3 linked regions of the Caenorhabditis elegans genome follow. The protein of the gene in region 1 purifies or fractionates together with the protein of each later gene. This does not show direct contact. Each region holds a gene or a part of one and is shown in the gene's direction. Other genes may lie near its edges. The genes, in order: ctsa-1.1, dim-1 and upb-1.

Region 1 (10,850 bases):
TTAAACTTTAAATAAAATTTCTAACACATTTACTTCTAAACTTTAAAAAAATCCCAAAAACCATTGCTCACCTCATACCCAATCCTCGTACTATCCACTTGAAAAAGTTTCCAAGTTGTGATGCCAATGTGTAGGAAAAAATAGACAAAAAATAATGGAACGAGAACATTTCGAAACGCCAATTTCAGACGACCCATTGCATTTTGTGAAGTTCGGGAGTCTGTAAAAATTAAAATTGAATGGAAGAAACAATAAAAAGATATGGAAAAATAGAGAAAAGTGGAATGGGAGAATAAGAAAAAATAGTGACCGCAGGGGGAGACAGGAGGGCGAAAGCAAATAATTTTGACACATTAAAAGAAAAGAAAGATTTTCACAAACCGTATCATTCTTAGACTAGTGTCGATTAAATTTATTGTTAGGTTATTTAATATTTCCTCTACTAGTAAAGCTTATTACTTTCAGGCAAATATTCTGATGAAACAGAGGAAATACAGTTAACTCTCGATGTGGGCATAATGCCTCAGGAAGCAAACATTTGTTTCGGCAACTTAGTTGTTCTACATCTAATATGCAAATCTGTTTAAATGTAGAAAAATATTTTACACGTATTTTGTCAGTTGACAATTTTTTGATAAACCTAAACAGAATCGAGATGTAGGCTCTCAAAGTAGAGCAAGGGTGCAAGTCTGATAGATAAATTACGGGTACTAAAAGAGCCTATCTAAAACTAAAACCCACATTTAAGGCAAAAATTGACTATATAAAAACTTTGATATATAAGTGTTAGGTCTGTCCTTCTTCCTAACTAAAAATATTCAATGCCTACTATCCGAACATGGTCAACCGTTGAAGGGAATTGTAGAGAATGTGTATAGAAAACGAGAGATGCGCAGTGTAATTCTCTCTTTCTAAGTTTCGTTTCCCGTCGGAATTCCCGTCGAGATTCAGAATCAGAATACGAAGAAGGCTAGACGCAGACTATGTGTGTTCCATTCACTTTTCAATCATTGCTTCTTTTTCTCTGATTCTCTTGTAACAATAATTTAGCACACCCGTGAAATCGGATCCATGTGAAAAAGGATGTATAGGTTAAGGATTCTGTATAAGGAAATTGTATCTGATTTATTGAATGAAAAATTGGAAAGTGTTGTAGAATTCCATGCGTCTTCCTTATTCCGTGGATTCTCTCACAAACGTCTCTGAGAAGTGAGAAATTTTTCAATTGCTTTGAATAAAATTAAAATTATTTTCAAATAAAGCAAATATTTTACCATATTTTATCACCAAGTTCGAATAAAAAATATCGGGAGAACATGCAACACTGACGCATTTTGCAGATTCATTACAGACTCTAACTTTAAGATTTGATTTTTTAAATATAAATGGACATCCTCATAGTGTATTCACAATAACTTTTTATTAGCAAAATTTTCCAAAACACCCCAAATTTCCAGAATATCTTCGTTCTTCTACTTTTCTTACCTCAAGAAAACCGATACTTTGTTGAACTGAGATCTTTGAAAAATCTCCTCGTAAGTTACAAAAAATTTATCAAATTTATCAAATTAACTTTATTTCAGAAAAGTATCTTACATAATATCGAAAATGATTATTTTCTTGCGCATCAAAAAGTTCGCCTATATTCGAGCCATAATTTTGTGATGGTGTGCAAGTATCTATACTTCTAAAGATTATCAGTACACATTTTCCAGCTCTACTCCTCATCGAAAATATTGATGATGGAAATTGATGATTTGGAGAAAATGATAACCTATGATGACGTGGCAGATGTCGTCTCATTACTTGTTTTAAATGGAAGTCCGTGTTATATGAATGGATCCGGAAAAGTTACTATTTTGGAGAATCAGGAAAAGTTGGTTTTTAATAGGGAAACAGAGATATATTGTAAAAATGTATATTCAGAATTTTCGAGTGCTCTCCACTACTGAATCCAATCTCTTCTAGCTTCGTAATTGAAAATCGAATTTATGTGCTATCGAACAAGTTTATCTCTAGCTTCACATCAGATTCTCCACTGGATTACGAGAACTATGAGACAGAAAAAGTCATTTTGGCAATTCTAGCGGAAATTAGCAATTATATTTTCAGACTATCACAACTGGAGATATTGGAAAATTTGGAGAAGATCGGCTCATGATTTTTGATAAGTTTTCTCAAACTTGTTTTGTCTGGGAAAAAGATAAACCAAAGTATGCAATTTAATTGAGCTTCAATTTTTAAAGAAACAGTTTTTTTTCAGAAATCCATCTCATCAACTTTGCTTTGGATCGTCTGAATATACAGTAGACGTGGCTTGCGACGAGGAGAATTTGTACTCCTTAACTTCTGCCGGCGTAGTTTCAGTTTGGAAATTGAAACCTAATGGGTATGCAGTTGCAGTCTTTGTTTACACGGTACTAAAATTTTTTAGAAGAAAATATCGAGATCAACTATTCACAACATACCTGAACCATTGCACAAAACTACTTTTAACATATTCTCAGGTATGAAACAAAGAAAATAATAAGCATATAACATGATTTCTGGGTATACAAAACACACGTTAAATGGAAGATCAGATTTTGAATATAAAAATTGGTTTTTAAAATCTGCCAAACACGGTCCCAGATTCTAAAAACATTTATCTTTCATTTAACGTTTGTTTTGTCTTACAAAAAATTGGCCAATTAATCTCTTTCTATATCAATTGAACAAATAAGGGAAATTCAATCCATGACGAGAGTCACTCAGAAAACAGCCTGTGCCTTTGAACTGACGCCCCAATTTTTTTAAAACGAAATCAGGATCCACAACTCTAAACGTTTTTTTTCATGGTTTCTGGCCACCTGGCGATCACCTAAAATGTTTTCTTTTTTCAGAAGTTTGTGATTCTCACCAACTCGGAAGTTCACTTTGTGGTGTTTGGCATTGACTCGACCAGTGGCCAACAGTGATCGGTGCCAGCCTCTACCGATCCTCATTCAATTGACCCCAATCCATCACTCGCCTGCTTAAAAACCCGCCGTTGCTCACAAATATTTTCTCTTATCTTCATTTCTTTGCAAAAATGATTGTCTCGTTTTCTTCTCCACAATCTTTTTGATATAAATTGATTTATTGAATGTTGATCGCGTTGCGTGTTGTAATATTGGCTCCTTCAGCATGGCGTGAGAGAAATAAAGAATTTAAATCAGAAAAGATAAAAAAGTTTCTGGAAGAAATGTTCTATTGAACAGGTAAAAATGAGACAACCAAAATTGACTGCGCCGCAAAATTTTTTGAAAGAGTTTCGTTAATAAAAAATCGGAAAATCTGGAAATATTTCGTTTCTTGTTCTGACTTTGGCAAGTTGGCAAAAATAGAAATTTCAGAGGCCAGAGCAATAACGTTTTTTGAGAATTTTTCATAAGGTCTCATTACGACATTCGATAGTTTTGAGCCATTTCAAGTCTAAAAATGTGTCAGATTTCCGTACTCCACCTGTTGCCTACCTGCCTTAAAGCGGACTCTAACTAACTAGTACCTGCTTCCAATAGGAAAGCTAAGAAAGACCTTTAAACTTGCCCACATTTAGTACTCTACGACTACAAAAAATAGACAATTTAAATTTCCTGAAGCTGGTTCTCCCCTGCCTCACAGAAATTTATAGAGTACACGATGGCACTAGTCGTTTGATCTCTATCTTATCAAAATCAAATCTTTTTTTTTTCAAATTCAAATCTTGTGCACAACCATCTCCCCAATCTTCACAGATCCACATTGTCCTCAAATTGTCCTTTGCCTTCTTCTGGCTCCGCCCCTATGGGACAGTCGAGACTCCGCCTCCTTCTCTCCAATGTCTCAGACAAACATCACAAGATATCTGTTTTTCTTTCTTGTCATGTTCCATGCTCAACCTCTAATTCATTGAATTTCAGGTATGAAAACCCTTCTGCTTCTCGCCTTCTTCGTCGGGGTGACCTGTGGAGAAGAGATCAAGGATTTGCCAGGATTGGACTTTGAGCCGAATTTCAAGCATTATTCCGGATTCTTCCAAGTTTCGGATAACCATGTGCTTCATTATTGGTGAGTATGAAGGACAGAAGTTAGCCTAAAAAGTGCAAACTAGCATGAAAGTAAAAAAAGTCTTGTACCTTTTCAATTTTTCGTCGATCGAAAGGTTGTTTGAAACAGTGTTCAAGGTGTGAAATAGGTTCAGAAGCTTACACAACGAAAATCTTACACAACAAATCTTACACGAAAATCTTACAACTTACACAACGAAAATCTTTTGAATGCGAGCTTGCCTTCATACCGGCTTGTCTAATAAATCATCCTAAATCATTATTCCAGGTTCGTCGAATCCCAAAACGAGCCATCCAACGACCCACTGATCTTCTGGTTCAACGGAGGACCAGGATGCTCTTCCTTGGACGGACTTCTCAATGAAATGGGACCATATGTTGCCAATGAAGATGGAAAGACTCTTCGTGAAAACGAGTACTCATGGAACAAAATGGCTTCAGTTGTCTATATTGAGTCTCCAGCTGGAGTTGGTTACTCGTATGCCACTGATGGAAACATCACAACCAACGATGATTTGACTTCTCTTGAGAACTACGAAGCTGTCAAACAATTCTTCACTGAATTCCCACAATTCCGTCATCATCAGACATTCATTATGGGAGAGTCTTATGGAGGAGTTTATGTTCCAACTCTTACCGCAAGAATTGTTGATGGACAAAAGGACTTCCCAATTAACTTGAAAGGAATGGCACTTGGAAATGGATATGTTAATGAGAAGCTTAACATTGATACCTCTGTCAGATTTGCTTATGGACACGGACTTATTGATGAGAAGATCTGGAATACTCTTGAGAGAGATTGCTGCAGAGGATGCATTGATTCATGTGATTTGACTCAAGTCACCGGACACTGTGCAACTCTCGTTGAGGACATCTTCCAATTCTTGTGGTTCGGAGGATTGAATCCATATGATTTGTACAGAGATTGTGATCCAAATCCATCAGTGAACAGCAAGAGAATGAAGCACATGTTGAGAGGAGTTGCTCCAGCAATGGCCCATTTTGATGAGCTCTTGAAAAATCAAACAAAGACTTCCCTTTATCAATTTTTGAAAGTATGTGGGGTAGCAGCAATGGGAAAATGTAAAAATATCATTGGAAAACTTTTCAGAAAATTTTTCAGTACTCAGTTTTCACCTAGTGTCACGGTAGGTGTCACGGTCATGAGATCATTATCAGCAGTTTTTTTTTTTGAAAACTTTGAAAATTGTTTTGTGAACGAAACCCTGCAAGGATTATATTCAAACAATTTTTTTGCCATCCAAGTAAAAAAAATTAAAATAGGAAAAAGGTTATAGAATTTTTTTTGGTCAAATTGCATATTTAAAACTTTTTTAATTTGATCAATAATTACCACCATAGCAGTCACTTCATATTTGTATCTTTCAGAACAAATCTCAATCCCAAAAGCCACTTAAGGCTGATGTTCCATGCCTCAACGATACTGAGATGCTCTCCTATATGAACAATCCAAAGGTTCGTAAGGCAATCCACATTCCATTCAATCTTGGAAAATGGGATATCTGCAGGTGAGCCTGAGCCAAAGAGCCCAAGCCCAGAGATCAAAACAAAAATTTTCAGTGACAAGGTGACTACTACCTACCAGAAGCAGTACACCGATATGACTCCATTCATCAAGAAGATCGTCAAGAACCACGTCAGAGTTCTTTTGTACTATGGAGATACTGATATGGCCTGCAACTTTATGATGGGACAGCAATTCTCTGATCAACTTGGACTTCGTAGAACACTTAAAAAGACTCCATGGAAGTATGATAGACAAATCGCCGGATTCAAGACACTTTTCGATGGGCTCAGTTTCATCACTATTCGCGGAGCTGGACATATGGCTCCACAATGGAGAGCTCCACAAATGTACTACGCCGTTCAACAGTTCCTGAATAATCATCCACTTTAAATTTGGAGAACAAATAATATTTTTATCTTCTTATTTATTTTTCAATCTATTGGTCAATTTTCCAAGTTTTGAATAATGAAATTTGATTTTTAAATTTTGTGATTTTCGAATACACTGAAATATTTTTCAGAAAGCTTCCAAATAACTGTAATCGGTTTACTCATATGACGTTTGGATTAAAATTTCAAGTAATTTCGATTAATAAAACTGATGTTCTACTTATTAATACGTTGTACCTTTGGAAATAGTCAATAAATAATTGGAAAGTCTTGTTTGTTCGAAAAAATATCGATTTGAAATCTCAAAAATGCCTTTTGTGGCACTTCCAACCAACATAGTTACTTTTTGTCCAATTTCTCAATAAAAATCGTATTAATTGAGCGAAAATACTACGAATTCAAAAGTTTACCATTCAAATTTAAATTTTCCTTTTTCCCGCCGATTTTCGCTACTTCGGCCATGTGCGAGTTTCTAGGCCACGCGGAAATGCACGGCGGCCACGTGGTCCGCAATTTTACGTACACGTCATTTCCGCGGAATTTCCAGTTTTATTTTCCGATTTTTCGCTTAAATTTTTCAATTCGAGATAAAATCAGTTTCATTTGCTAAAAAGAAACGCAAATTTATTTCAAAAAATCAATAATCTTCTTCTATTTGTTTTTCTATGACCGATTCTTTTGAGAATTTAATTTTTTTCAGCCGTTTAAAAGAGAAACCACTTGGGTCCAGTCAAAATGATGAATTTCGAAGTAAGCACAACAAAACGTAAGTTTGAAAATCAGAAAATATATGTAAACTGTGAAACATTTCAGAAATCGGAGTGGGGTTAACGACGTTCGGCTTCTTTTTCATATTTCTCGGAGTGCTGATGTTCCTTGATTCTGCTCTTTTAGCTATCGGAAATGTAAGTATTTATTGTAAATTTAAAGCATAAAATTATTATTTTCAGCTTCTATTCATTGTTGGAATCACATTTATTATCGGCGTGCAGCGAACACTTGTTTTCTTCTTCGAATTCCGAAAACTGAAAGGAAGCATTCTCTTCTTCGGAGGTTCGATCACAAGGAATTCATTATTTTAATTTAAAAATTTATTTTCAGGGATTTTGGTAGTTCTATTTGGGTACCCATTGTTCGGAATGATTGCCGAGTGTTGGGGATTTATTGTCCTTTTCGGGTGAGTTTTTGACTAAAAAATGTTGAGTTTTCTAAATATTTGCAATAGAATCAATATCTTGAATTTTCTGCTCTTTTTCTTCGATTTGTAACAAACATTTTGAACTAATCGCTCACGAAATTAAATTTAATCTAATAATAATGAATTTACAGTGGTTTCCTGCCTGGAATTGTCAATTTGCTCAGAAGTATCCCCGGAATCTCAACAATCACATATCTTCCTGGAATCCGACAGGTCAGTTCTAACGAATCAGGATTTTTATCAATTATTTCAAGTTTTAGGTCCTCGATCGCCTTGCTCCAGAATCCAAGTACCCCGTCTGAAAAGTTCAGGATCTTCCCAAAAATCTCACCAAAAATGGGTTCTATTTTCTTTTTTGTTGAAAATATTTTCTCCTGTGTTGTCCCTTCTCCTCTCATATCACGTTCGGTTCAACTACGATTTCGGCCAAAATGCACATTTTCTGTGTAATATTATTCAATTTTAATTTATTTATTATTAAAAATTTTAAATTTTATCTCATTTCTAAAATATCCCTCAGCCTTTGTTGTATAATACGCTTTCATTTTCTTCTGTTCCTAGGTGAAAAATGTGATTATAATTATTTATTAGATTCCCTTTTTTCCTTTTCTTGTGTTCTGACTCGATATCCATTACATGACTCATTTCGATCAAAAAAAATGATGTTCTATGCTTGTTCTTCAGATCAAACAAATCACGTTTTCACCACCAAAGAACTCATTTCGACGAAGGTTTCTTCTCCCTTCAACCTCTTATCTTTGTTGCCATTTTTAAGAATGACAAATCGAGAATACGAGACGCAGGGCCAACAACATCTCGTTATAAGAAACGGTCAACCCGATCAATTCACGATTTTAATTCAGTTTTCTACAGCTTCCTGTTTTCAAGCACTGCAGATTTGAAACAAAAACCTTGTTTTAAACTTAGAATCTACCTGAAAAGTCCGATAAAAACTGAAAAAGTTCTTACTCGTAGAAAAAATTATTTTTAAAAGAAAAAAAATGCAGAAATTGATGAAATAAGGTTAAAAACCAAATCAAGCATTTTTGAACATCATTTTGAAATAAAAAATTGAAAATTTACGGTATTGTGCATATTTTGTGCAATTAGAATGCGAAAACTTTGAAAAAAAACTTCCAAAGTTGAATTTTAAATAGAAGTTGCCTAATTTTCTTGAATTTTTCATTTTAAAGCATTGTTTCTATTACAGAAAATTAGATATTTCAGAAATGCTCAGTCGTCTAGTCAGCTCCGTCCATCCACAAATTGGGCTCCGTGCCGCTTCTTCTGCAGCCAACAATATTGTCAGTCAAGCTCAGCTTCAATCCGATCCTTCGAAGGTTGCTATTCAATATCCTTCTGAACGTTTTTTCCATAATTTTATAATTTTCCAGCTCCTCTTTATCGATGGCGATCGCAAAACGACTTATGGAGAATTTGTTAAACGAACTGGGCAATATGCAACTGCTCTGACTGAAAAGTACAATATAAAGGTCATTTTATCTTTAAAATTGTATAAATTCAACTTTTCAAATTCAAATTTTCTCAGAAAGGAGACCGTGTGATGGCTAGAGTATCAAAAACGACCGATACAGCTGCTCTCTACATTGCTTGTCTTCAAATCGGAGCACTCTATATTCCAGTCAATCCAGGATATACTGAATCTGAAGCTGCTCACTATATCAAGGATGCGACACCTTCGATTCTAGTCTCGTGCAATGAAGAATTGGATAAAGTTTTCAGAGATAAGATCAGGGTTATCAACGAGGATAAGTTGGCATCTGAAGCAGGAAGCTTGAATGTAAGCTGGAAAATATGAAAAATTTAATAATTTTCAAAAAAAAATTCAAAATTGAAAAAACCACAAATTCCTTGTGATGCTAATCAAGAAATATAGAAAAAAATATTAATTTTACTTTACAAATTCGTGAAAACTTGAGCCTCCAGTTTAAAGGGACACGATCTTCTTCTGCTTGGGTCTCGTCACGATCTCAGCCACCGTGCAGTATCTATTCTGAACGTTTTTAGAAAAAAAAATTAAAAACCAAAATTTTGACAAGAATATTAGGAAAATAGGAAAAGTGTTTGGAGTACAAAAGTGACTACTTTTTTTTGGATTTTTCGGTATCGAAATACCGATCAAACCAAAAAACGCCGTGATCGTGCCGAGACCCACCCGGAAAATATCGTGTGCCTTTAAACTGACATGTCAAAATTAAGTCAAAAGAAAACACAATATACATACTATCCATGCCCAATATTCAAATGCAACATTTTCCAGGCATGCACCATGATCGAACATGTCGAAAAATCGGATCCCGCATCAGTTTGCTACACTTCAGGAACCACCGGACTACCAAAAGGAGCAATCTTAACTCATGGATCATTGTCTAACAACGCACATGATATTGTCCGAGACTGGGGATTTACTGGAAATGATTATAATCTACATGCACTTCCATTCTATCATGTACATGGACTCTATTATTCCCTTCATTGCTCTTTATTCTCACATTCAACAATGATTTGGCGGTCGAAATTTGAAGTTGAAGATTGTATAAAATACATGAAAAATGCGACGGTTATGATGGGAGTACCAACATTCTTTTCAAGACTTTTGGCATCAAAGAATTTCAATAAAGAAGCATTCGGAAATGTTCGAGTATTCATTTCTGGATCTGCACCTCTATCAGTATCTACAATTGAAGAATTCAGGGAAAGAACTGGACAAGTGATTCTTGAAAGATATGGTATGACAGAAGCTGGAGTTATGACTACTAATCCATTGAATGGAGAGAGAAAAGCTGGAACTGTTGGCCCGGCTGTACAAGGAGTTGGATGTAGAATTGCAAAAAATGGAGGAATTGAAGTGAAGACAAATGCGATTTTCGCTGGATATTGGAAGAATCCAAAGAAGACAGCTGAAGAATTCACTGAAGATGGATGGTTTAAAACTGGAGATGTTGGACATCTTGATGAGGATGGTTATTTGACGATTGGTGGAAGATCAAAGGATATGGTTATTACTGGAGGATTAAATGTATATCCAAAAGAACTTGAAGATTTCATTGATACACTTCCATTTGTTAAAGAATCTGCAGTTATTGCATCTCCACATCCAGATTTTGGAGAAGCAGTTGTTGCAATTGTAGTCCCGTCGGAGAAGGTGACTGATGAGAAGGAGTTTGAGAAGAAGCTTATTGGAATTATGAAGAAGAAGGTTGCCAATTATAAGGCAAGTTTTTTTATTTAAAAAATAATCCGAAATTTCAAGATTTTTGCGCTAAAAATACGGTACCCGGACACGACAAATTTAAATGAAAAAGAGTGTGCGCCTTTAGAGTACTGTAATCTTGAAATTTCGTTGCATCGAATTTTTCATCGATTTTTTTTCATATTATGTCAAAATCTGTGCGTTTTTTTCAGTTCTATAATGAACGCATATTTTTATTCAAAAAATTATAGAAAATGGGTGAAAATTTCGCAGAAACAAAAATTTTAAGCTACAGTACTCTTCAAAGGCGCACACCTTTTTGTATTTGACAAAAAAAATTTCGCGTTTGGCTAATATTTTCTGCCATTTTTATTTTTTTGTTGTGAAACTAATCAATAAATGCAGAAAAACTTTAAAAAAATTGAATTCGTCTTGCTGTTTTCAATTTTCTTTT
Region 2 (11,314 bases), on another chromosome or scaffold:
TATTGAAAATGCCCGATGAAATAGTTTGCGAAAACATTCTGATCAAACTTTCTTCACAAAACATTTACTGAAAAAGCATCTTGTAATCTACTCACTGGTTCTTCATCGCTCGATCCTTCCGGAAGTCGGTATGTCGTGATATAGAGCCCTTCTTTCTGGGAATACTGGTCGATGAAAATGGAAAAATTTTTGGATGCATCGCGATGATGAATATCAGGAGTACCTGTTCCAGTTTCCCCTTAAACAAAAATAAGTTTTTTTTACAGATCGATAATCTATACAAATTTGTTTTCACTTCATAAGGCCCGCAATTGGGAAATTATTTTTGACATCGTTTCTGACCGGAATAATGTGTTTTTACAGTAATAAAGGGGTTTTTTAATTAGAGTAGCGACAGTGGGGATTTTGTTTAAACACCCTTATAATGATCCAAAACAAACGAATATCATACCAAAACACTTTAAAACATTTTAGATTTTTCATGATTTCCGGTCAAAGTTTTGTCAAACTGTTCCGACTCCTACAACCTCATAAACCAACAAATCTCGTTCATTCAAATTTCTATATTATTTATCCTCTTCTGTCAAATATATATCACTTCACTTAAGATGGATTCTGACGGGTCTTTCATACTTTATGTGTTATTCGATTCTCCCCGATGCTTTTTTTTATGTACAGTGCGCGCGCTTGCTACATTTTTTATACTATGCTTAATTATTGTTTATTCGAAACTGGATAAATTTTAACGAAATGTAATACAGTGCGTGCGCTTGCTATAGGAACCCTCTAAATTTTTTAAGTATTGAAAAACTTCGAATTTTTCGTGAAAATCTATTATGATATTTGGAATCAGGGTGTCAAAAAACCTACAGTCCCATGTTTTCATGAATTTATCATTAAAATTGAAAGCGCCTGGCCAAAATTTGAAAAATAAGTTTCCGCGAAATAAGGCAAATTAATAAGGAAAATAAGTAAAAATAAGGCAGGTGATAAAAGTTGAAACACAAAAGTTTCTCATGAGCTTCTTCTCGGGCTTAAACGTCTGAAAATGAGAAAAATAGTAAAAATCAAAATTTGAATTTTTCCGAAAAGTTATAAATCGGAACTATTTTTCATTAAAAGTGTAATTAAACGTAGTTTTAGAAATGATTTTTTTTACAAACTCAAAAAATCGAGAATTTTGATGAAAATTTTCAAAAATCTCCGTGGGTCCTATAGCAAACGCGCGGCCTTATTTTTCAAATATTAGCCAGGCGCTTTCAATTTTAATGATAAATTCATGAAAACATGGGACTATAGATTTTTTGATACCCTGATTCCAAATATCATAATAGATTTTCACGAAAAATTCGAAGTTTTTCAATACTTCAAAAATTTAGGGGGTCCTACAGCAAGCGCGCGAACTGTATTACATTTGGTTAAAATTTATCCAGTTTCGAATAAACAATAATTAAGCATAGTATAAAAAATGTAGAAAAAAAGTTTTTTTGATCGACTTCCAAAATTATGAGTGGCAAAAACAATTGTCACTTTTTGACCGTAAATAAAAAAGTTTCAAAACAGTTTTGAAAAGTTTTATAATGATATTCGGTAACTTTTTGACCATAGGAGTTGTTTTTAACAATTTTCCCACTGGCGCTTTTTTAAGCAGTGTTATTCCAAGTAGCAATAATCTTTCAAAATACTTTTTTCTAAATTTACTGACTGGAGATACCAGTGAAAGCCACTAACTAACCCTGTACAAAAGACCAAATCACAGCTCCAGCTACACATCCAATTAAAACCAAAGAAATAGCAAGACGAATACCGAAACTTCGAAGGCTAAAATAAAAATCTACAATTTTCAAACAATTTTTTAAACAACTTACTTCTTGCCAAAATCTGCGCCTTCTACTAACTCGATATCGTCATCGTCTTCGAACTCGTCCGCAAATCTTGGTAGTGAGCCGCTTTTGCTCATCTGCAAACAAAAATAATAACTAAACTATATAATTTAAATTCATATTTTGTGTAAACCGGAAAAAGGAAAGGTTTTATCACACTGAAAATGGCAATAATTGCTCCACACGATACGTGGAGGGTAATAAATGTTAAAGATTTATCAGTGGCGGTTTCGTATGCAATGTGTAACTTTTGGAATGAAAGTCATAAATTTCAAGATTCAAGAGAGAGCTGGTATAAAATTTTTTAATACAACAGGAACAATCCGTATCATTTGTGTTTGTTGATGTTATTAAACAAAGTTCCGCATTATTATGGCAAAAATTGATAAAAAATGTTTGTGCACATCAACATTAAAAAAGGTTACTAATGTTTCCACATGAAGAGTCTCTGGAAAAATGAACAAGTTGTAATTTCACCGTAAAAGTAGTTCTGGAAGAACATGTTTGAAGAAAACCAAAAATTGACAATACCAAATAACATTCTATGTATGCAGGGTTGTCTGAAATAATTATTTTATATTAATTTCAAAGGAACACTATATGATAATATCTGGAATAGGGGAAGCAATTAACATAGTCATAATAAAACATAGTTAAACAATTCCTACAAATTTAATAGTCTAATTATGTTTAAAATACTCATATTCAAACATTACAGTGATTTGAGCATTCTGCAGTGCTATAATTTTGTTTTCAATAAGCTGCAAAAATGCAGTAATTGCAACATTTGATTGTCAACAAAAAACTATTCAAAACTTTCAAATAAGTGTTACTATGATATTTAATCATTTTTGCACCATAAAAATGTTTTTTTAAGCAATTTACCCTATGGCGCTACTCCACTATTAAAATCAGTTGGTGTTTCTGGATGAATGTATTTATAACTTTTATCGGCTGCTTTTTCCGATTATGTCTTCGGCTGCACTCAGTTTGTTATTACGAGCCATCTGTGCTCAAGGTCGATAAGGTCAACTTTCTCGAAAATACGTTTCCCCTGTCCTCATTGACATCTTTCCCCCTCTCGTGTCTCCTACTTTTCACCCTTTCACCAAATATCGATCAAGTCGATTTTCAACGGGTTCTCCAGGCAGGTGGCTAGTACGTACAGTTTAGAATTGAATAGTGATGTCGTTTCGTCTCGTAGTGTTGAACTCTGGCGTTGTCTAATTCTCTTCTCCGCAACGCATCTCTAGCTTGCACGGCGACGGTCACCCACGATGCTGGGTCGCAAAAGACCTCTGGTCACCCTTCCCGTTACCGCCGATGGTGATCTAATAGTTATCGAAAAAATGAAAGTATTGGATTTTTAGGTATTGTTGCTAGCACAACTGTATTTGTCGATATTGTTGTTTTTTAATTCTCAATTGGGAGCAACAAAATTTTTTACAAAGTATACTCATGTTTCAATATCGGTTCTTGAGTGATTGGTGATAATTAAATCTCATTTAGAAATTCTGATTGAATTTTTTTCCGGTATGTGATTTTTTATTAATATCCTGAAAAATCGGCGAACTTATGTTCAAATAATATAGTTTTTAGTTTAATGTCCCGGCATACTTGTTTGTTAGTTTACGTTTACCATCCAACCTTTAAGCACCTTTTCTAAGGTTTTTCTTACCCGGCGATGGTCACCCACGATGCCGGTCACCAAAGATGCCAGGTAGCAAAGGATCCCTAGTCACCCTTCCCGTTACCGTCGACGGTAATCTCATAGTTATCGAAAAATGAAAGTATTGGATGTTTTGCATGCTGGCTACCCAACTGTACTTGTCGATATATTCTAAAAGTTGTTTTCTCATTGTAATTTGAATGCAACCGATTTTATTACGACCGATTCCAATCCTTTAAATTTTTTTGAAAACTTTTAATGTCTTGTTTTATTAGAATTAGTATTTTTATTTCATTTCAAAATAAAAGCTGTTGAACATTTTTCAACATCACTATCTAATTTTCAAATTACAAGGACCGGCAAGTAAGTTAAATTTTTTTCAAATTTTGGTTAATAGCTAAGTAGCATTAAAAGTTTTAAATCGAAAATGTTTTCAGTTGTTGATAATGTTTGATTTATCTGAAAACTTTACTTTAATGCACAGAAGTAGTGTTCCCATTTGCGAATTCAAATACTCCAAGTAGTTCGAATGTTATAGCTTATTTGTTTATCAGTTTATGTTTAATCCCAATTCATCAAACACATTTTTGTGCGTTTTTTTTTACACGGCGACGGTCGCCCACGATGTCGGTCATCCTCGATGCCGGTCACCCACAATTCCAGGTTGCAAAAGACCCCTAGTCACCCTTCCCGTTACCGCCGACAATGATCTCATAGTTATCGAAAAGAAAGAAAATATCGGATTTTAGGCCTAACACCACATGTGTACACGCCGATATCATTTAGTTTTTTTGTGGTCAGTTTTATCACGAAGGTGCTTCAAAAATTGATCAATTCATAATTATGATAACCTTCAATTTATGACTTTTATGAAATTAGTTGGTTTTGATTACAGAGATGAGAAAATGGTTTTTCAATGAAAGTTCTCACTTAACAATATACATTCTAAAACTATGCCAATTGTTCAAACCAAAACAAAATTGCAAGTCAGTTAAACTTGACTTTAATTATTGACAACAATTAGGTAGATTTCAAAAAGCCAAATCAAATTATTGTTTCATTATTTCAATGGTTAAAAAAACTCGCCTTAAAAGTTTTGTTTTGTCTGAAAACCACAAAGTCATCTGTTCCCGTTTACCTACAATACTTACTTACTTACTAAACTTTTCATTCACTTTTTGTTTATTTAACTTTTTGTGTATCAGTTTTTGTTTACTTTCCGTCCATCAAGCTTTTTTTTCCTCACTCATCCTTTATTTCAATTCTCGTCCTTTTTTCTATAATTAACAACACAAATCTTAATTTTTTCAGTTTAACTCCATAAGAATGGCATCGTTAGCACCATTCTTTAAAATTTCCGACTCCATCTTGGTAAGTGTCAAAACTTTTGTAAAATTTCAACGTTTCGATGCAATATTTGCTATTCTAATAACTTGGTGTTTTCACTTAACACAAGTCTTTACACTTTTAATAAGAACCGATAATCACAGTGAGATGTGCAGTGTTACCACTTATTGAGTAGTATCCTTGTGCAAACACCCCCACGACATATTGCGTACATTCCCGATTCAGAAATTTCTGGCTTATAAGGAAGCAATAACTCTAATTAATTTTAAAAAAAAAGAATAAAACGCTAAATATTATATATACTCAGGCTGATGAAAGTTTCGACGATCTGGAAATCAATAATCATTTTAAATGCACTAGCAAAGGTAAGTAAAGTGTTTTTGTCAATTATCTTATAATTTTTCAACTTCAGATCTAAATGAATACCCAAGAACTTCAACCCCATTGCCTGGAGAGATAACATCAATTTACAGCTTACCCAGATCATATAGTAGGTGTTAATGGATACGATTTGTATTTTTTTAAAGACAAAATTCAAATATGATAAAATTAACTTTTCAGATAATCAAAACCTTTGTACAAGAAGTAAACCAACAACATTCATTTCACAAAATCGTATGTTCGATTACGTTAAAAAATGTTTCTATTATTCATTTTTTCAGAACAAAAAGGAATGACGGAAAAACCGAAGCATTCTGAATATTTTTTAAGACTGATGAAAACACGCCAAGAAATGCAGAAAAAATTAACTGCGAAAAATGGTTCAAACAAAAGTGTGCAGCAATATTTGAGAAAGTTACCGCCCAGTACGAGCAAAGAAGTGACGATAATACCAGTGAAAATGAAACCTGATGACAATTCAGTTTATATTTCTAAAGAATTAAGTGACAGGACTGACACAAAACTACCGAAAGTTTCAACAAAAGAGGTAGAAAAATTTGGAGAGCAGTCAGATGATGAAGAGAGGCATGAGAGGTCTCATATCGCATCGGATTTTAATCAGAAGACCCCGCAATCAACGCATGCAACGAGTAACCATAGGAAGAGAATTTTCATAGGGAGGACAGGTGCTAAGCAACAGCATGTTAGTAAAAAAGCCACAGAGAGTGAATTACCTTATAATATCGACGTGTCAACCTCCAACACGACAAATGCAACCGAGGCTCTCAAACTGTTAAAAAGGCCACTTCTGTTACCAGTGAGTTTTAAAACTTACAAATTTAACTAACAGTTAGTTTAGTGACATAAAAATTAATAAAAGTTAGTGAAAAAGTAAAACATGACCGACTTTCTATGAATTTCAAACATAATATTTCCAACTAAAACCAAGAAGAACCAATAAACTGTAAAATAAAATAAAATGTAAAGTTTTTACTAAACATAACGATTTAACAAAAAAATAAAAATAAAACTTCAGTTGTTATATGTTTTCAAGATAATTTTTGAAAGAGTTCTTATTGTTGGAAAATTATTAGTAACTTTCCTTATAGAGAACATTTCATATTTAAAAACCAATAAAACATTCAAATCGTCACTGAAACATAAATTGGCAAAAAAGTAGGCAATTTCTATTTGAATTAACACCCATCAGCCAGTTTTTTTTTCAAATTTTTTCACCGTGTTTTACACAGCTTTGCATGAAATTTTTAAAGCTAAAATGTATAATCTTGTATTTTCTCAACAGTTTCTCTTAAACAGATCATGTTTCATATCAAAGTTTTACACAGCAAAAACTGCAAAAAATGAAAACATGAAAACGTACAAAAGTGTTCAAAACTATTCCAAAATATTAATTTCCCAAAAAATAATGGCTTGTAATTTTCAGAGTAAGGATCCACGATCGTCAAAAATGCCCCGTTTAGATCTCAATCAACATCAATTCCGCTGCAAACAGTACATAGTCCATTCACAATTTACATGTACTCAAATTGAGAAAACATTTAAGTGCAGAGTTGGAACATCGACAGAGAGTGAAGACCTTGATGATTACTATTTTGATGGTGAGTACTTATTTGTTCTTGTGTCAGTTATCAATAAGCGAAGAAATAAACAAAAACAGTATTGGAAATTAAATCGAATGGTCTGCACACTGTGTCAACCACAGCGCCTCCATGATCTTAGAAACAAACAAATGAGCAAGAGATTACCGTGCGCTCTTTTCCCGACAAACATAGAAATATAGTACTTGATAGAAAAGAAATAGGGAAAAGAGGAGGGCAAAAAGCAACAAGTTGTGAAGAATAGTCAACAATATTGGTCGGGAGGGAGGTTTCTGCTTGTACGTATATATTTATTGAAGTGACGCCGACTGACGACGCAGGATTTGCTTTCATACAATTTTTTTTGGGGGGAAACACGATAAAAATGTCCCGTCGTTTTTATGCATCAATGCATCATTCTTCGGAAGTTACTATTATACATACAATCACTTTCTTAGGGTTTTTTTCTTTATTTTCCAGTGAATGCTCAAATTGTATATTTTCTAGTATGATTTTAATAGAAGAAAGTTTTCATTGAAAATAAGACAAATAGATAGGTCAAATAATATATAATAAATTGAGTGGTATAGCATTCTATTTTTTCGAATCAAAAACTCAAATCTTAAACGAATAATTTTTTCCATCCAAACTGAGCTACGATTTTGACACTTTCTGAATATTTTCAAAAATTTACAAGCCTAGTCGTATATTTTGAAATTAAATAATTAAACCTTGAGAGGTTGGCAATTTTAACATTTCCGAATTTTGACATTGCCGAACATCTCTGCAATGAATGTTTGGGGGTTCTATGTATTCTTGTCGTAACTATTTGTTTTCTTTGCACTCGTTCGCTTTGACCAGACCACTTTTCTTTTATGCTATGAACTCATTACGCAGAGATCTCGCACAACAATTTGTTACTTGCACTGTTCATCTTGTCCTTTTTACTCTTTTTTCCTTCCGTTTACTTTTTCATATTGCACACAATGAGACTGTGCTGATGGCTGCTTCAAAATTTCTGGGACTGTGCTTCACATTCTTGTGTACTCTTTCGCTCACCACCAGTTTTTTGCACTGTTCTCTAGAGTGAAAAAGGAAAATTGAACAGTTACATTGTGTTCGGTTTCAGTCAATTTTTTTGTTGTACAATTAGCGTCGCTAGAAAAAGTGTTTTTTTTGCTACTCTACTGTTCTTGTCTCATGCTATTTTGTAGAGTTTAAATTTATTTTTAAAAAATGAATGTCAATTAAAATGTGAGAACTGGTAGAATCAAATATATACGTTTCATTTCTCGCGTAAAAAATTAAGAAAGTAGTCTTCTAACCTTCCATCTAGGCTATAAATCTCATTTATCTCTAGTTCCACTTGGCCACCAACTCCTCCGCAAGCAAATGATGATGATAGGGACCATTCGTAAAAGCCGCAGAAGCCCGAACAGTCAACTCGAACAGTTGTGGGGTCTTAGCGTGTGTGTTAGCAGGGAAATTTCTTTTTCCAAAGCGTATGAGGAGGTCCCGCTCGGTCGGTTAAATGAGCAAATATCTTCGCGACATATGCCAACGCGATTCGTATTACGTTTATCTGCTCGTCTAACACGAAGGCGAAATTGATGAAACGTGGGTGGGAAATGGAAACTAAGGAGAACTTCGGGGGGACGTGTGAAGCCGATAATGATGAGATCATACACTATTTGTCGTCTGCATATTGATCTATGTAGGACATGTACTCAACGATTTTATCTATTTCTCGGAACTTTTTTTTTTTAATTTTGAAGTGTTTTTGCGAAATTGTTTGTCTCTGCCGATTATTTTGAGAACAAATCGGCGTAGTTGTAAGAAAGATATAAATCAACCTGGTAAGAATTCTACCAATAACTAAAACTATTTAACTTCATCATGTACATTTCATTTGCCAAACAAAATTCTTTAAGCTATTTGCTCAATTTTCTTTTTTCATATCCCGCTTTTTATGATATCATCAATGTTCATTCAAAAAAAATCACACAACCACTCAAAAATACAAAAGGCTGTCTCAAGTATACACATACTTCTGCAGCTTTTCCTTTCCTCTAGGAGTATTTTTTGTGATATGATCACATTGAGTTTAGATCGGATTCGAGAATGATATTGAATGAATCGTGGCGCCAGGTAACTGAAATTTTATTTGTCAATGAGAAAGCGAGAGTTCCTTTTCTTCCACTATCCACCTACTCTATGGGGGTGCGAGCCTTTGTTTGTCAACTTGAGCTATTAAAAAAAGATACTGTTGAGATAAGTGCCGATTTCGATTTTCAATGCACTGCGGCTCTATCATATCTGCCTCCCCTACTAAACCCGCGCTCATTTTTTGTTTGAAAAATCAAAATCGCACGTTTCTTCATTCCGTCATAGTCATAGATTTCTGATAGGTTCCACGAGATGCGTTGGATCAGCCATGCAAGTCGTTGAGATTGCATGAGTTTCAGTTTCACGGGATGAACATATGTTCCCCGATCATGATGTGTGTGTTTTACATTTTTAGATGATTTATTGGGAAATTAGTTTTGTGCAATAGGTTTTCTGTCGTTTTTAGCTGTTATGGTTTATGTATATGTATATTCTTATTGGGTGGTATTTGAGAAGCTTGCCAAATTCATAAATCTCTTATCAAATCTATTAACATCTATCCAATGTACCCCGAACTAACTAGTTACTTTTTATTCTTTCTTCTGTGGGACCTTTTTCTGTGAGATATTTGTGTTCTTTCACTATCAGTGGTCGGCTGGCTAGCTGTCCTCCCACGCAGTAAACTTTACGGATCGATAGGTGATCAGGCAGCAGAAGCAACAGTGGTCCTGCCGAAACTTTCGAGAAAGACACAGAGCCAAGGCATGTTGATAATCATTGATAGTGATAGGTTCGACTCTGTCTCTCTGTTTTCTCTGGTCCATCAATCTGAGCCGTCATATCTACTTGCTCTGGACTCCCGCGGGGGCGCGCTCCTGCTCCGAGACCTTCTTTCTCTCCTTTATCCTCTCGCCTCTAGTACACAGCACGGTAGGAAGAGAGAAGCGGGAGGGAGGGCGCCGATTTTTGTGTAACGCTCCGAAGCGCGCCTCTTGTCACACTGTGATTAGAGTTGGCAATGCAGCCTCGGCAACGGCGGCGGAGTCCCGCTAGTACAGAGACTTGGGATGCTCCCGTGGATGTGCCTGCCCTCTCCGACTCTCACCGCATACCCACTTGGCATCCTTGTCCATCTCCTATCACTTAACATTTTGTTCTTGGCCTTGACCAGTCCAACTTTTTTTACGCAGGGGAACTCTGTGTCTATTTTAAGACATATATTTATGTGCTCGTGTGTTTTTACAATTCCTCTTTCTAAGACTTCTTGTGTTACTGTGTTACAATGCTTATAACAAAAACTAGACGGAACGAAAACAATAAAATGAAACACTGGAAGAAATGTTCGCCATTCCTTTCTCTCTTTGCTTTTTCGATTTTTGTTTTTCTTTGTGCTCAGTCGATCACAATACAGTTTTCCCATTTTCAGCCATGCCAGACGGAAAGGCCCCACACTTCCCACAACAACCAGTGGCTCGCCAAAACGACGATGGCTCATTGGAGCTCGAATGTTTCGTTGATGCCAACCCAACCCCACAAGTGAAGTGGTATTACGATAACGTGAGTGACGCTAGCATCCTACAATATTAAGATATTTTGCTTATGAAACATTTGTTTGCTCACTGACTCAACATTATCCAATTTGATTCATTTTTACAGAAGGAGGTCGAAAACTCTGGACGCTTCAGTGCCAACCTTGCCAACAAGGGAAGCGACAGCTACTCAGCCATCCTCACAATCAAGGTAAGCCCCATTTTTTGCATCTCTCTTTGTCTTAGTTCCGAAACGACGAACTTCGCGGGGGACATCCTAACCCCTCATCCAAAATGCCATCTGCTCAAATCTTGCATCCCACACTGTGTAAAGTGTCGTCGTCGTTGATTCCGTTACACACATACACACATACACTCTCGTTCTATTGCAATGCCTATGTGACAGATCATCTTTAACTGGCAAAGGGGTGCTACCATTAAAATAAGAATGATTATGTTAACGAGGGATTTTGAATCTAGCCAAAATCATGACTGAAAAAAACAACAAAAAAATCTCGTAAAATTTTAGGAGCTTGCTGATGCTGACGCCGGAGCATACAGATGCGCCATTGTCAACCCACACGGAAAAGGAAATGCTAACTTCAACCTGAAGCTTACCGGTAAGAATTTTGCTGAATTTGAAGTTTAAAAACGTAATTTCATATTTTAAACGAAAGAAACCAGTACATTGATTAAGCATTCATTTTTGAAAAGTTTTTCAAATTCTTTTCACTTTTAGAAATAAAATGTGCCATTTTACAGGATTCTCTTCCCCAACATTTGTTGAGAAGCCACAAATCT
Region 3 (10,450 bases), 1.6 Mb from region 1:
TAAGTTTTAAAAATTTAAAATGGATACATTGTCAACTTAAGCATAAAGGATCGTTGGCTGGCAAGGAAGAAAAATCACAAAATTTGGGGGAGCTTACTTTTTTGACTTTATAAATTTTCACCAAATGTCACTTCCGTCACCGGTAACCAATCACAAAAAAATTTTCATGAAATGTTTTTTAGAAACAAGGATACTTTTATTATATAATAATGAAAATAAATCATTGGATAAATCTCATTTAAAAATCTCAATTAAGCTAAATTGAGCCTACTTGCGCGCCACGGTCGACTGGGTTTTTGAGTTTCTTGAGGTCTGTGCGGCTGTAGGTAAATGTTAAGTTTTATATGTCATTATGTTCGATTTTTTCTATTCAATAAAATGTATATATTAACTTGTTTTGATCGCTGTCCAAGAAAAAGTTACAGTTCCGTAAAGTGGTCGCCATAATTATGGACCACCCAGTAGTTATCTGAATCAGTTGATTAGTTTCCCTTCTTTTCGAAACTTTGATAATTTCTGGTAGAGCAGAGTCAACCAAATGAACATCATATAAATACAAATATTTATTCAGTTGATAGTTTTTTGGTGTATCATTTCACTAAAAAGAGCTATGACTTGATGGGTGATTACATATGAATATATGTAAGAACAAATAGTAGAACAGTGTAGGTAATGGTTTCGAGTTTGATGTTTTTTCGTTATTCTCCAAATCAGGAAAGTGTGAATAAAGTCATTACTGGTTTGAACTGGTCTTGAACTCTTTAAGTGGCTCTTGAAGTGGATCTCGGTTCAAATTTTGACTTTGTCACACACTAGTGAAAAGTACATTAGTAAATGAGTCTCTCAGTAAAAGCCAACTTTTGGCAATTTCCGATGGCGACAGTTTTTATTTTGGTATACATCAAACACAAACACTTTAATCCCTTCTTTCTCCATACTCTATACTTCCATTCAATGTCCTCTCCGATGATAATAAAAAACATGTGAGTATGTCTGCGTCTCTTCCAGAATCTGCGCACACAAATATGTGCTGCTATGGAAATGCATGAAAATCAAGGGAGGAAAGCAGTCTTCGAGAGCAGTGGCGCCAGGGCTCGTTTGTGCACCACGTCGTCTTCTTCTCATCGATTAGTGTGTGACACCTACTACAACTCATCATATTTCTGAAAGTTCATTTGACCTAATCATTTGTTTCACTTTCTGTCTGATCGTTTTAATTGATTAGTTTTTGGCGTTATTAACTCTGACTGACAGTACTCTAATCTTTCCATGCACAAAAATATCAGTCCCACGTGCCAAGAAGGCATTCGAGAAGCATGCATCACTTTGAAAAATGCTTGTGATCCCCAGTGAGTTTTGATATTTTGTGACAATTAATCGGGGAAAAAAGACAAACAAAAAGTCAAACTTTGGTATGAAAATCTCTTAATGAAAAGTGGCAATTTTCAGAGTACTTGACAAGGCTGCAATCCGAATGAGAGAGTACGAAAATGAGTTCGGTCGAATACTTTATACAATATCAATTTTAATAATGTTCTCATTTGTCATTATTCTCCTAATGGTACGATCAATTCGGAGAACACAATCAACAGTTGAGGTACGTTTGGAATTTCACAGTAGACAATCGAACTGTATGAAATTGTATGAAATTAGAGAGGACCGTAGGTTTTTGTATGTTGTTTGAAAACAAAAACCCGGTCAAATCAGAAGTTTTGTTACAAAATTTTAATAAATGTAGAAATTTTGAAAAAATGCTAATAACTTCAGTATTAAGCTACATGAAGTTCTCTATATTTCAGATGGATTCGCTCCTTGATGCTATGCGAATTCGAGAAGAATTAGAAATACAGGAACGTAAAAGAAGACGATTGATGAGAGCAAAAACCCAGGTATATTTATGAAAATACATCGAAAAAAAATTAATTCAAAGTTGTAGGTGACTGCATGGCTCGTGAACAAAAACAAAGAGAAAGGACCAGAAAAGCGAAAAGATAGCGAATGGAAGCCACTTCCAAATGGAACAAGACCAAGAGGACATTACAGGTAATTAGCAGAATTTTTTAGAGAAGTTATAATCAGGGAAACTAAAGAATTAACAGAAATGGTTTTCTATTTGCTTTTATATAACCTTTAATGAATAATTATAATTACAGCATATCAACAGTCACATCAGACATTCCGGAGATTGTAGTAAGTGCTGACGACTGCATACATTCTGATTTTCCAAATCGTCCACATACTCCTGCAATCTCAATGATTTACGATTTTGGAATTGCGTCACCGGATTTAATAGAGCCCGATAGGTGAGAAAAGATGAAAACAGATTAGTAGCCAAATATGAGACACTACTAAAAAATGGCTTTTTGGTGGTTTTTATAATATTCTAGCGGTGAAACGTTTATGAAAAATGTCGAAAGTCTTATTTATAAATGCAAAATAACAACACAATCGTATTGAATTTGACCACACCGGCGTTCTAATAGATGAAACTTAAAAATGAAACATTTCATACAATAACAAAACATATTTCAGCAAATTCAAACGAAACCTCAAAGAATAATATATTTCAGCCGTAAGCCATCAATTTCCTCTTCAACAGCAATTCCCATGTCATCTTCGTCATCTTCATCAATGAATTCATTGATTGAACCAAATATGAATTCAATAAAATCAAATCCTCGAACATATTCGCTTGACACAAACGCCTCCACGTCATCGAGAACTCCTCGTGTTGATTGTGACGATAAATCATTTAGCTTAGACGTGTAATTTTGTTCTCATTTTTATATGCATTACTTATTTATCTTCACCATCTTCATTATTTTGTCCTGTGATCGTCAAATCGATTCGATTTTCAATCAACTTGTCGTATATTTACACTGCTTATGTACATTGGATGATGACTAACAGTAATTCTTTTTTTCTGGTTAAAATTGAAAAAAAGAGAAATGAAGTATTTTAGAAACCGATAAAGAAAATGCTTATTTCAAACCACCGACTCAAGAGGCAATATCGAGACCGCTTGTCATTGATGGATGCAACATTGGAAGAAGTGCCTCTGGATATGCTAGAACGTGGGTTGTCCAGAATATTTTCTCAATTCAATGCTTCCAATCATTACAAACTTCTGATATTGTTGAAAATTGCTTGTTTTCAGTCCACTCATTAAAATTTCGATGATTTTGAGCAAGCTCTTTTGAGCAAGCAATCTTAATGCCCCACCTTGGTTTTTGACGCCAACTTATGTCATAAGTTTGATCTAAAAACAGCAGTTTGGTTCAGAAATTGGCAAATATTTATGCAAATTGTGCCAGAAATGAATAAAAGCATGCCCTTGGTAGATGTCTGGTAGATGGTAGAGATTCCGTGGACACGTGGGAAATTAAGTCGTGGCTCTGTTCTTTTAATGAATTACAAAAAATAATACGCACAAATTTCTGTATTTTTTTCAGTCACGTGGATTGTGCTGGCCTCGTCTCCGTTGTCCGATGGCTTCTTATTCGTAGATTTGACGTAATAATTTTTTAGTTTTCTTTAATTTCCCAATTACAAATTTCAGGTGACTGTTTTCCTGCCTGTTGTTTACAACAATGTTAATAATTATAACTCGAAAAATGCGGAACTACTTGCAGTAAGATAATCTTTGTTCTCTAGGCTTTTTGGATTCTGATTTTTGATTTTCTCAGAAATTGGAGCAACTTGGTATTGTGACATTCACGCCGGCTAGAAGTGGTCGGGGACTACGAAAGTGAGTCAGAGTCGGAATGAAGTCAATGTGGGCAAGTCACGTGTTTTTCAGGGCGTTTATCAATTATGATGATTTGTATGTGGTTTCGTATGCAGCCAGACATGGAGGTACAATTGTCAGTGGAGACAAGTTCAAAGATATTCTCAATCAACCGTGTTACAGGTAACATTCCTATCATATTGTAAACTAGACTAGGACTTTTTCGGCTTTTTTAAAGCTATGCATTAAATTCAAATTTAATATTACACTGGTTTTAGTGACTTCCACCACGTCATCAGAAACCGAACAGTCGATGTAAAATTCCGACCGCTAACACTCGATTTCGTCGAATATCAATCAGATCGGTTTTATCGACATGCTCCCGAACTATTCACATGTAAGAAATTATTTCTATTTTTATAATCGAACATCATCTAGAATCTTGTTATTTTCAGATGAAAACACTAGTCAACGAACCGAATCTTTGCGTCAACGACTATTTGCGTTGCCTCATGAACCGGACTATAATCTTGTGAAAAATTCGAAACGACAAGTGACTGATGAGAGGAGAGCTTACTTGTGTGCTGAACTTGAAGCTATTCTCATTTCAATGAGTTATGCAGCCGGGAAAATGTTTCGAGATGTTGCAGAATTGCCATGTATTGATAATGTATGTGTACTTGTCCAATTGCCAAAAAATAAGGAAATATTTCAGTGTTTTCATGGATTAAGAGTGGAAGATGTTGCTCCGAAGAAATTTGCGGATGCATTCTACAGAAAATATCCGAAACGAGAAGGAAGATGTGATTTACTTCAAGAATGGGTTATGGAGCCTGTTGTAGAAGTTTCTGAGAAACAAACAAATAGCAATGAACTAAGTGATGATGTTCTTGTTCCAACTCCATTGCCTCTCCCGGAAAAGTCTAGTCAATCTGTCGTGAATGTTAATAAAGGAAAAATCGAACTTCCAAGAGATCATTCCCTTGGGTCGTTGCTTCAATGGTTCACACTGGCTGAAGAAGCAAATAAAATCAAGAAATAATAATCGAAATATTGATTTTTGATTGAGATCTGTTTCATTTTTACAAACAATTCGATAAACGTTTCGATTTTTTGCATGTTTTCTTTTTTCTATCTCTCGATTGATATCTTTGAATGACCTGACGGGTGCACGTGTTGAGACAGCTGTCGTTCTGAGAGGACAGGAGACTTTAAACTATTCAGTTAGGATCTCTTTAACATCAGATACTTTTGCTTTTTTGCTCTTTCTTGTTTTCTCGAAGATTCGCAGAAGAATCAAATTTGCTGGTCTGATACATCTTATCATTTCGGTCTTGATAAGAAGTTGAAAAAAAATTTGGTGTTCGCCGAAAAAAAGTTTCTCTTTTTCCTTGATTAAATTCTATTTTCCAATTGATAACACCACTTTCTCTTTAAATGGCATTCAAGTTCCGATAAATTTAAGGTCAAATACTGCCCAATAAATAGTGTTCATTCAATTTTAATGTGAATTCATTTTCTTATCTTGTCTTATCGCAATTTGTCCATTTTCACTAGAAACATCATATCTTTATATATTTATTTTATCTTATTCAGGTAAAAATGTCTGCAGCTCCGGCTCAATTCGATGGCGTTGAAACTGCTTTGGCTGAAAAATTGGACGGAGTTTCTTTAGATGAAGTCGAAAGAATTCTTTATGGTAGACCATACAGGTTTGTTTAAAATATAATGAAAATTCGCAAATACTTTATTTTCAGAGCACTGGAAATTTCTTCTATTGCGGAAAAACTAGCACAAGATGGTGATTTCCAACTGTCTGGATACATTGTGGACGCTCAAAAAGAACAAACAAGAGCTCCAAGACTGGTGAGCAGAAATTATAAAATTAAATTGTTTTAAATAACTTTTCTGATAACCAATTTTGTAGAAAGGAAGAATATTGTTATGGGAGATGTTCTGTCTGTTTCTCGTATTTAGCTTTTCATTCTTAATCTTTGAGCACTGCAAATATTAGGTGGAAAAAGAGAAAAAGAGAGTCCCAGTTTGTTATATATATTTGAAAATATTACCATTTTTTAAGGTTCGCGTTGCCGCTATTCAAAACAAAATCCACCGTCCAACTACAGACAGTGTCGTTGAACAACGTGATGCAATTCATCAACGTGTCGGAGCAATGATTGAAGCTGCTGCTTCCGCTGGAGCTAATGTTATTGGACTTCAAGAAGCTTGGACAATGCCATTTGCATTCTGTACTCGTGAACGTCTTCCATGGACAGAATTCGCAGAATCTGTATACACTGGACCAACTACACAATTCCTTTCTAAATTGGCCGTGAAACATGATATTGTGATTATTTCTCCAATTTTGGAAAGAGACGAAGAAAAGGATGATGTTATTTGGAATACAGCTGTTGTGATTTCTCATACTGGACGGGTTATCGGAAGATCTAGAAAGAATCATATTCCAAGAGTTGGAGATTTTAATGAATCTACATACTATATGGAGTCCACACTTGGTCATCCAGTTTTTGAAACCAAATACGGTCGTATCGGAATCAATATTTGTTACGGACGCCATCATCCACAAAATTGGATGATGTACGCTCTTAACGGTGCAGAGATCATCTTCAATCCATCAGCAACAGTTGGTGCTCTCAGGTTTGTTGATTCAATATTGAAACATTAAAAACATGGAAATTTAGTGAACCACTCTGGGGTATCGAAGCACGAAATGCTGCCATTGCCAATCACGTCTTCACAGTTGGAATTAACCGCGTGGGCACTGAAGTCTTCCCAAATGAATTTACCAGTGGAAATGGGCAACCAGCGCACAAAGACTTCGGTCACTTTTATGGATCCAGTTATATTGCTGCTCCTGATGGTAGCCGTACTCCAGTGAGTTTATTGAGGTTAAACTTCAACAATGAGTAACTGCTCAAAAATTTTTATAACTGTTTCTCTCTTTTAAAAAAAAATAGCTTGAACAAATCTGATACATATTTTTTTCAGGCATTATCTCGTGTTCGTGAGGGAGTTCTCATTGCTGAACTCGACTTAAATCTGTGTCGTCAATGCAAGGATGCTTGGGGATTCAGAATGACAAACCGTCTCGACATGTACGCTCAAAAGATTACGGAAGTTTCCAACCCGGACTATCGTCCAGACATCAGAAGAGAGCAATGAATCAGTTTTGTTGTTGACATTTCAATTTATGGATGATTTTTCTTTGTTTTCTATCACCTGATTATTATTTGAATCGTAAATAAATGTAATTCAATTTAGCTCATGATTTGAACTAATGAGGTGAATAGTAGTAGATCAGAAGAGGGAGATGACTCAACTTGTTGTACTTGATAAACTTTAAAAGAAGCAATCATGTGGAAGACTGAAGCTTTATAAACTTACTTACTAGTTAGGTGATATATACTTCAGCTCTTTTGCTTTTTAAAAGAAGTTTTCTTTAGATATTTGATAAGATATTTATTCTAGTGATAATATTTTTGCTGTCGTTACTGAGGCAACATATAGAGAAACTAGGCACCAATATTATAATCACTAGTTTCTGATAACCGCCCATCTCATGTTATTTTCCCTTCTTCTTGAGAATTTTTCCTAGTTCGCAGTAAACCAAAATTATTTTGGAATTTTCGTACTACTTTTGAATAACTATTAGATACTACTTTAAAGGTTTTGTTTTGTATTTTGAGATTTTGTATGCGGTATTGTTAATTTTTGTCCCATACCAGACTACTCTGATTGCCGTTCATCCAAGAAAAATGCGTTTATCTACAATTTTTAAGTAAAATATCAATTATTATAAGATGACTGTTTTTCATGAAAATTGAGAGAAACTCAGCAAGCGGAACGGCTTGACCAATTAAAAATACGATTTTTTATAATGAAGATGTTCGTAAGATTTTAGTGTTTAAAAACATCTATGTTCACTCTGTCTTTATTGGGAAGTGGAGTAATCCACGACTGGATTACCGGTTACAGTCCCAGGCTAGAGCATGACTTGAATTATAGCCCAGTGAGGTACCACCAGGCAATGTACCTGACTCCCAGATCCGCAGTCTATAGAACGGATCGTCCCTTTTTTAAGGTCGCCCTGTCAAATCTAAGGAAGTAGACATATTTGTTCACAATGAGCAACAGTTAAAATGAAATAAAAATTTGGATTTTGAAATGTTGTGTGACTAACTCACTCATAAACTAAATTTAACTATTATGGAAATGAAGAATATTTAGTACTTTTGTTTTGTTCAACAGATTTTTTTTCCATAATTCCATAATTCAGAAATTCATTTTTCTTTTAGCGATTTCAAATCTTTCAATTTACAGTTGTAGATTAGGCTACTTTTTATTTCCGACTTTATTGTATTCATTTTGTATTCAATCGAGGTGTCTAGAATTATGGTTTCATTGAACCCAATTTTTTTTTGTTTTTTCCGTTTTGTATAGTATCAGACACTACTATTTTCATGGTGCTGTGGCAGATCCCCAGTGTAAATTTCCATCTGATTACTACAACTTGTATTGTTTGATGTTTTCAGTTGTTTCACAAATCATTCATATTCATATCTTTACAATTAAGAAGTTCTTAAACTCATATCTTTACAATTAAGAAGTTCTTAAACACATTTTTGATATCTCTGGTGGCTCGAGGCAACTTGGCTCCTCCTTCCTACTTTTTGTGCATTATTCTTCTTTTTTCTCGAATTCTCATTCAAATTACCAGTTTGCCTTACTTTATATATGCTCTGCACAGAGCTCCCTTTCTTAAATTCTTTTTCTTCATATTTATAACTTGCTTAAATTCAAATAATGGACAGCATATCTCGTCGTGCAAGATTTCGTTTTGGCAAGATGCTCAATTCTGCTGCTGCTGTTATCAATCAATCAACACTTCGTCGTCGATCTCATTTTGCCCGTTCTGCTACAACCAACAGCTATGGACCGATTCCTATTGACGGTGATAGTTCTATTCCGCTTATGTATTCTTCTCAGTAAGTTTTAAGAAATTTTTCATGATAGTTTGGTGTTTTTTTTTCAAATTTATAAACTTTAAATAATCAAAAACAAACGTATTGCTCAGCGTTTAGAAAGAATATATATAACTTCAAAAGCCTGTAGTCGTGTTGTAGAAATAATTTTTCACCGTTAGACTTCTGTTTAATTAATTTTCAAAAAACTAAAGCACATCTAATCAACACTCTAAAGTTATTTGAGTTTTGTTCAAAATGTGTTTCAACCACACGACATTCATTTTCATGTAAAACCCTGTTTCAATAGGTTTTAAAAATTTCAATTCAATCTAAAAAGTTATTTGCATGAATAGTCTTGAAAATTATAACTTAAGTTTTTTTCAATTTCCATGCTTTTTCTGTGAGTCTCTTGTGTGCGTTTTTTATAGGAAAAGTTCCCATGGAAAGTGTTTAGCAACGGGGGAAAATGTACATGCCAACACACTTTGAAACATATTCTTCACTCGATTTGTTTCTACTAAAACATTCTACGTATCTCGTTTTTTTTCATATTGTCCAATATATAATTTAAGTTTTTCTAATAATAAAACTCTCATCTAATGATTACTTCCCGTAATTATAGATATAGAGGCACAGTAATTTTTTGCATAAATTATGGCAGTGTTTAAAAATAAATGTGAAGTTCAAAAGTTGAAAATTGTGACGAATAAATTTTTAAACGCGTCCCATAAATATGATAAAAACGCCAGTACTCATTGAAAATAATTTCAGAACAAATTCAACAGGCTCAAACAATTCAATCGTCTCTATTCCAGGCCTCGGGAACGTTTCAAATGTAGGTAATTTAATCTTTGGCTATAACTGGTACAACATTATGAAAAAATAAAAATGCAGTAAGAGAAAAAAAATGACAGCGGTTTTTTTAAAACTGCTTATGAAGTTATTAAAATGCGTTGAGAAATTTGCAGCTGATCCAAGTCAGATCCCTCGAACAATCAATGGAAAACGATTTAAACGCGATAACTTTGAGTGAGATTAATGGAAAAGGAGAAATTGTTCCTTATATCAAACCAGAAACGGATCAATCAAAGATATTGGCTGGATTCATAAAAATAGCAGAGTACATGTACATTACGGATAATCGAGAGTTATTGGACAGAGATGAGTTGGCATCTGCTGGAATAAGTCATGTCGTTGTAAGAAATTTAAGGCCTTTATTTTAGAATTAAACTATTTTATTTTCAGAGTCTCGGAAACGATTTGCCACTGGCTGTAAGTGTCACTAGACGGGATGGGCATCTTGTAATGATTCCTCTCACTTTGTTTCATGAAACTGATGTGGATCCAGTTCAACCGTTTAAGGTAACATTTTGAGCTTCTAAACAGAAGATATTCAAAATATTTTTTATTCAGAACCTCTCTGCAAAGTTTGACAACGTCAACTTGTTCATTGAGAACGCTCGTAAAATATCTCAAAAAGTTGTCATCTACAGTAAAAATCGCCAATGGGCATACTTTGTAGCGGCTCAGTATAACGTGGAGTATGATTTTTACAAATTATTTTCAGTATTAGACTTTTATCATTTTCAGTTACTACGAGTTGGAGCCAGGAAAGGCATTACATCATTTAATGAAACTAACTGGAGAAGAATGGGTTGATCTACCAGAAAAGTGTATGAAGAGATTGAAAGAATGGAAAAGTCTTGGAGAAAAACGAAGAGCTCAATCACCAACTGAG

What was found.
Region 2: the proteins of ctsa-1.1 (region 1) and dim-1 fractionate together in Caenorhabditis elegans (co-fractionation; one large-scale study listed by BioGRID). This does not show direct contact.
Region 3: the proteins of ctsa-1.1 (region 1) and upb-1 fractionate together in Caenorhabditis elegans (co-fractionation; one large-scale study listed by BioGRID). This does not show direct contact.

The regions. Positions count from the first base shown.
Region 1 is NC_003280.10:4,733,728-4,744,577, forward strand, and holds ctsa-1.1 (Serine carboxypeptidase ctsa-1.1), read left to right. Parts: upstream 1-3,920; 5' UTR 3,921-3,922; coding exon 3,923-4,068; intron 4,069-4,335; coding exon 4,336-5,122; intron 5,123-5,456; coding exon 5,457-5,596; intron 5,597-5,648; coding exon 5,649-5,985; 3' UTR 5,986-6,075; downstream 6,076-10,850. Other genes in the region: F41C3.7 (WD_REPEATS_REGION domain-containing protein), read left to right, coding at 1,458-1,535, 1,584-1,667, 1,716-1,876, 1,927-2,068, 2,113-2,213, 2,264-2,389, 2,435-2,507, 2,883-2,957; F41C3.11 (Nucleotide-diphospho-sugar transferase domain-containing protein), read right to left, coding at 72-197; eas-1 (putative Golgi transport protein 1), read left to right, coding at 6,720-6,750, 6,798-6,889, 6,935-7,037, 7,086-7,161, 7,314-7,395, 7,443-7,484; acs-11 (fatty Acid CoA Synthetase family), read left to right, coding at 8,412-8,522, 8,577-8,675, 8,732-8,983, 9,464-10,417.
Region 2 is NC_003284.9:8,051,777-8,063,090, reverse strand, and holds the start of dim-1 (Disorganized muscle protein 1), read left to right. Parts: upstream 1-4,870; 5' UTR 4,871-4,878; coding exon 4,879-4,923; intron 4,924-5,206; coding exon 5,207-5,264; intron 5,265-5,311; coding exon 5,312-5,389; intron 5,390-5,460; coding exon 5,461-5,514; intron 5,515-5,561; coding exon 5,562-6,097; intron 6,098-6,724; coding exon 6,725-6,899; intron 6,900-8,382; exon of another isoform or gene 8,383-8,518; intron 8,519-9,591; exon of another isoform or gene 9,592-9,937; intron 9,938-10,001; exon of another isoform or gene 10,002-10,185; intron 10,186-10,410; coding exon 10,411-10,541; intron 10,542-10,640; coding exon 10,641-10,724; intron 10,725-11,042; coding exon 11,043-11,133; intron 11,134-11,275; coding exon 11,276-11,314. Other genes in the region: C18A11.3 (DUF4309 domain-containing protein), read right to left, coding at 96-238, 1,736-1,821, 1,869-1,960.
Region 3 is NC_003280.10:6,284,971-6,295,420, reverse strand, and holds upb-1 (Beta-ureidopropionase), read left to right. Parts: upstream 1-5,323; 5' UTR 5,324-5,329; coding exon 5,330-5,439; intron 5,440-5,484; coding exon 5,485-5,593; intron 5,594-5,807; coding exon 5,808-6,385; intron 6,386-6,429; coding exon 6,430-6,622; intron 6,623-6,736; coding exon 6,737-6,910; 3' UTR 6,911-7,009; downstream 7,010-10,450. Other genes in the region: mps-1 (MiRP K channel accessory Subunit), read left to right, coding at 1,270-1,349, 1,450-1,597, 1,800-1,889, 1,937-2,043, 2,154-2,303, 2,571-2,769; nyn-3 (RNase NYN domain-containing protein), read left to right, coding at 2,897-2,909, 2,963-3,074, 3,453-3,513, 3,560-3,631, 3,687-3,748, 3,800-3,910, 4,006-4,124, 4,183-4,397 and 1 more; F13H8.6 (DUF4238 domain-containing protein), read left to right, coding at 8,552-8,733, 9,484-9,547, 9,681-9,908, 9,958-10,074, 10,126-10,253, 10,303-10,450.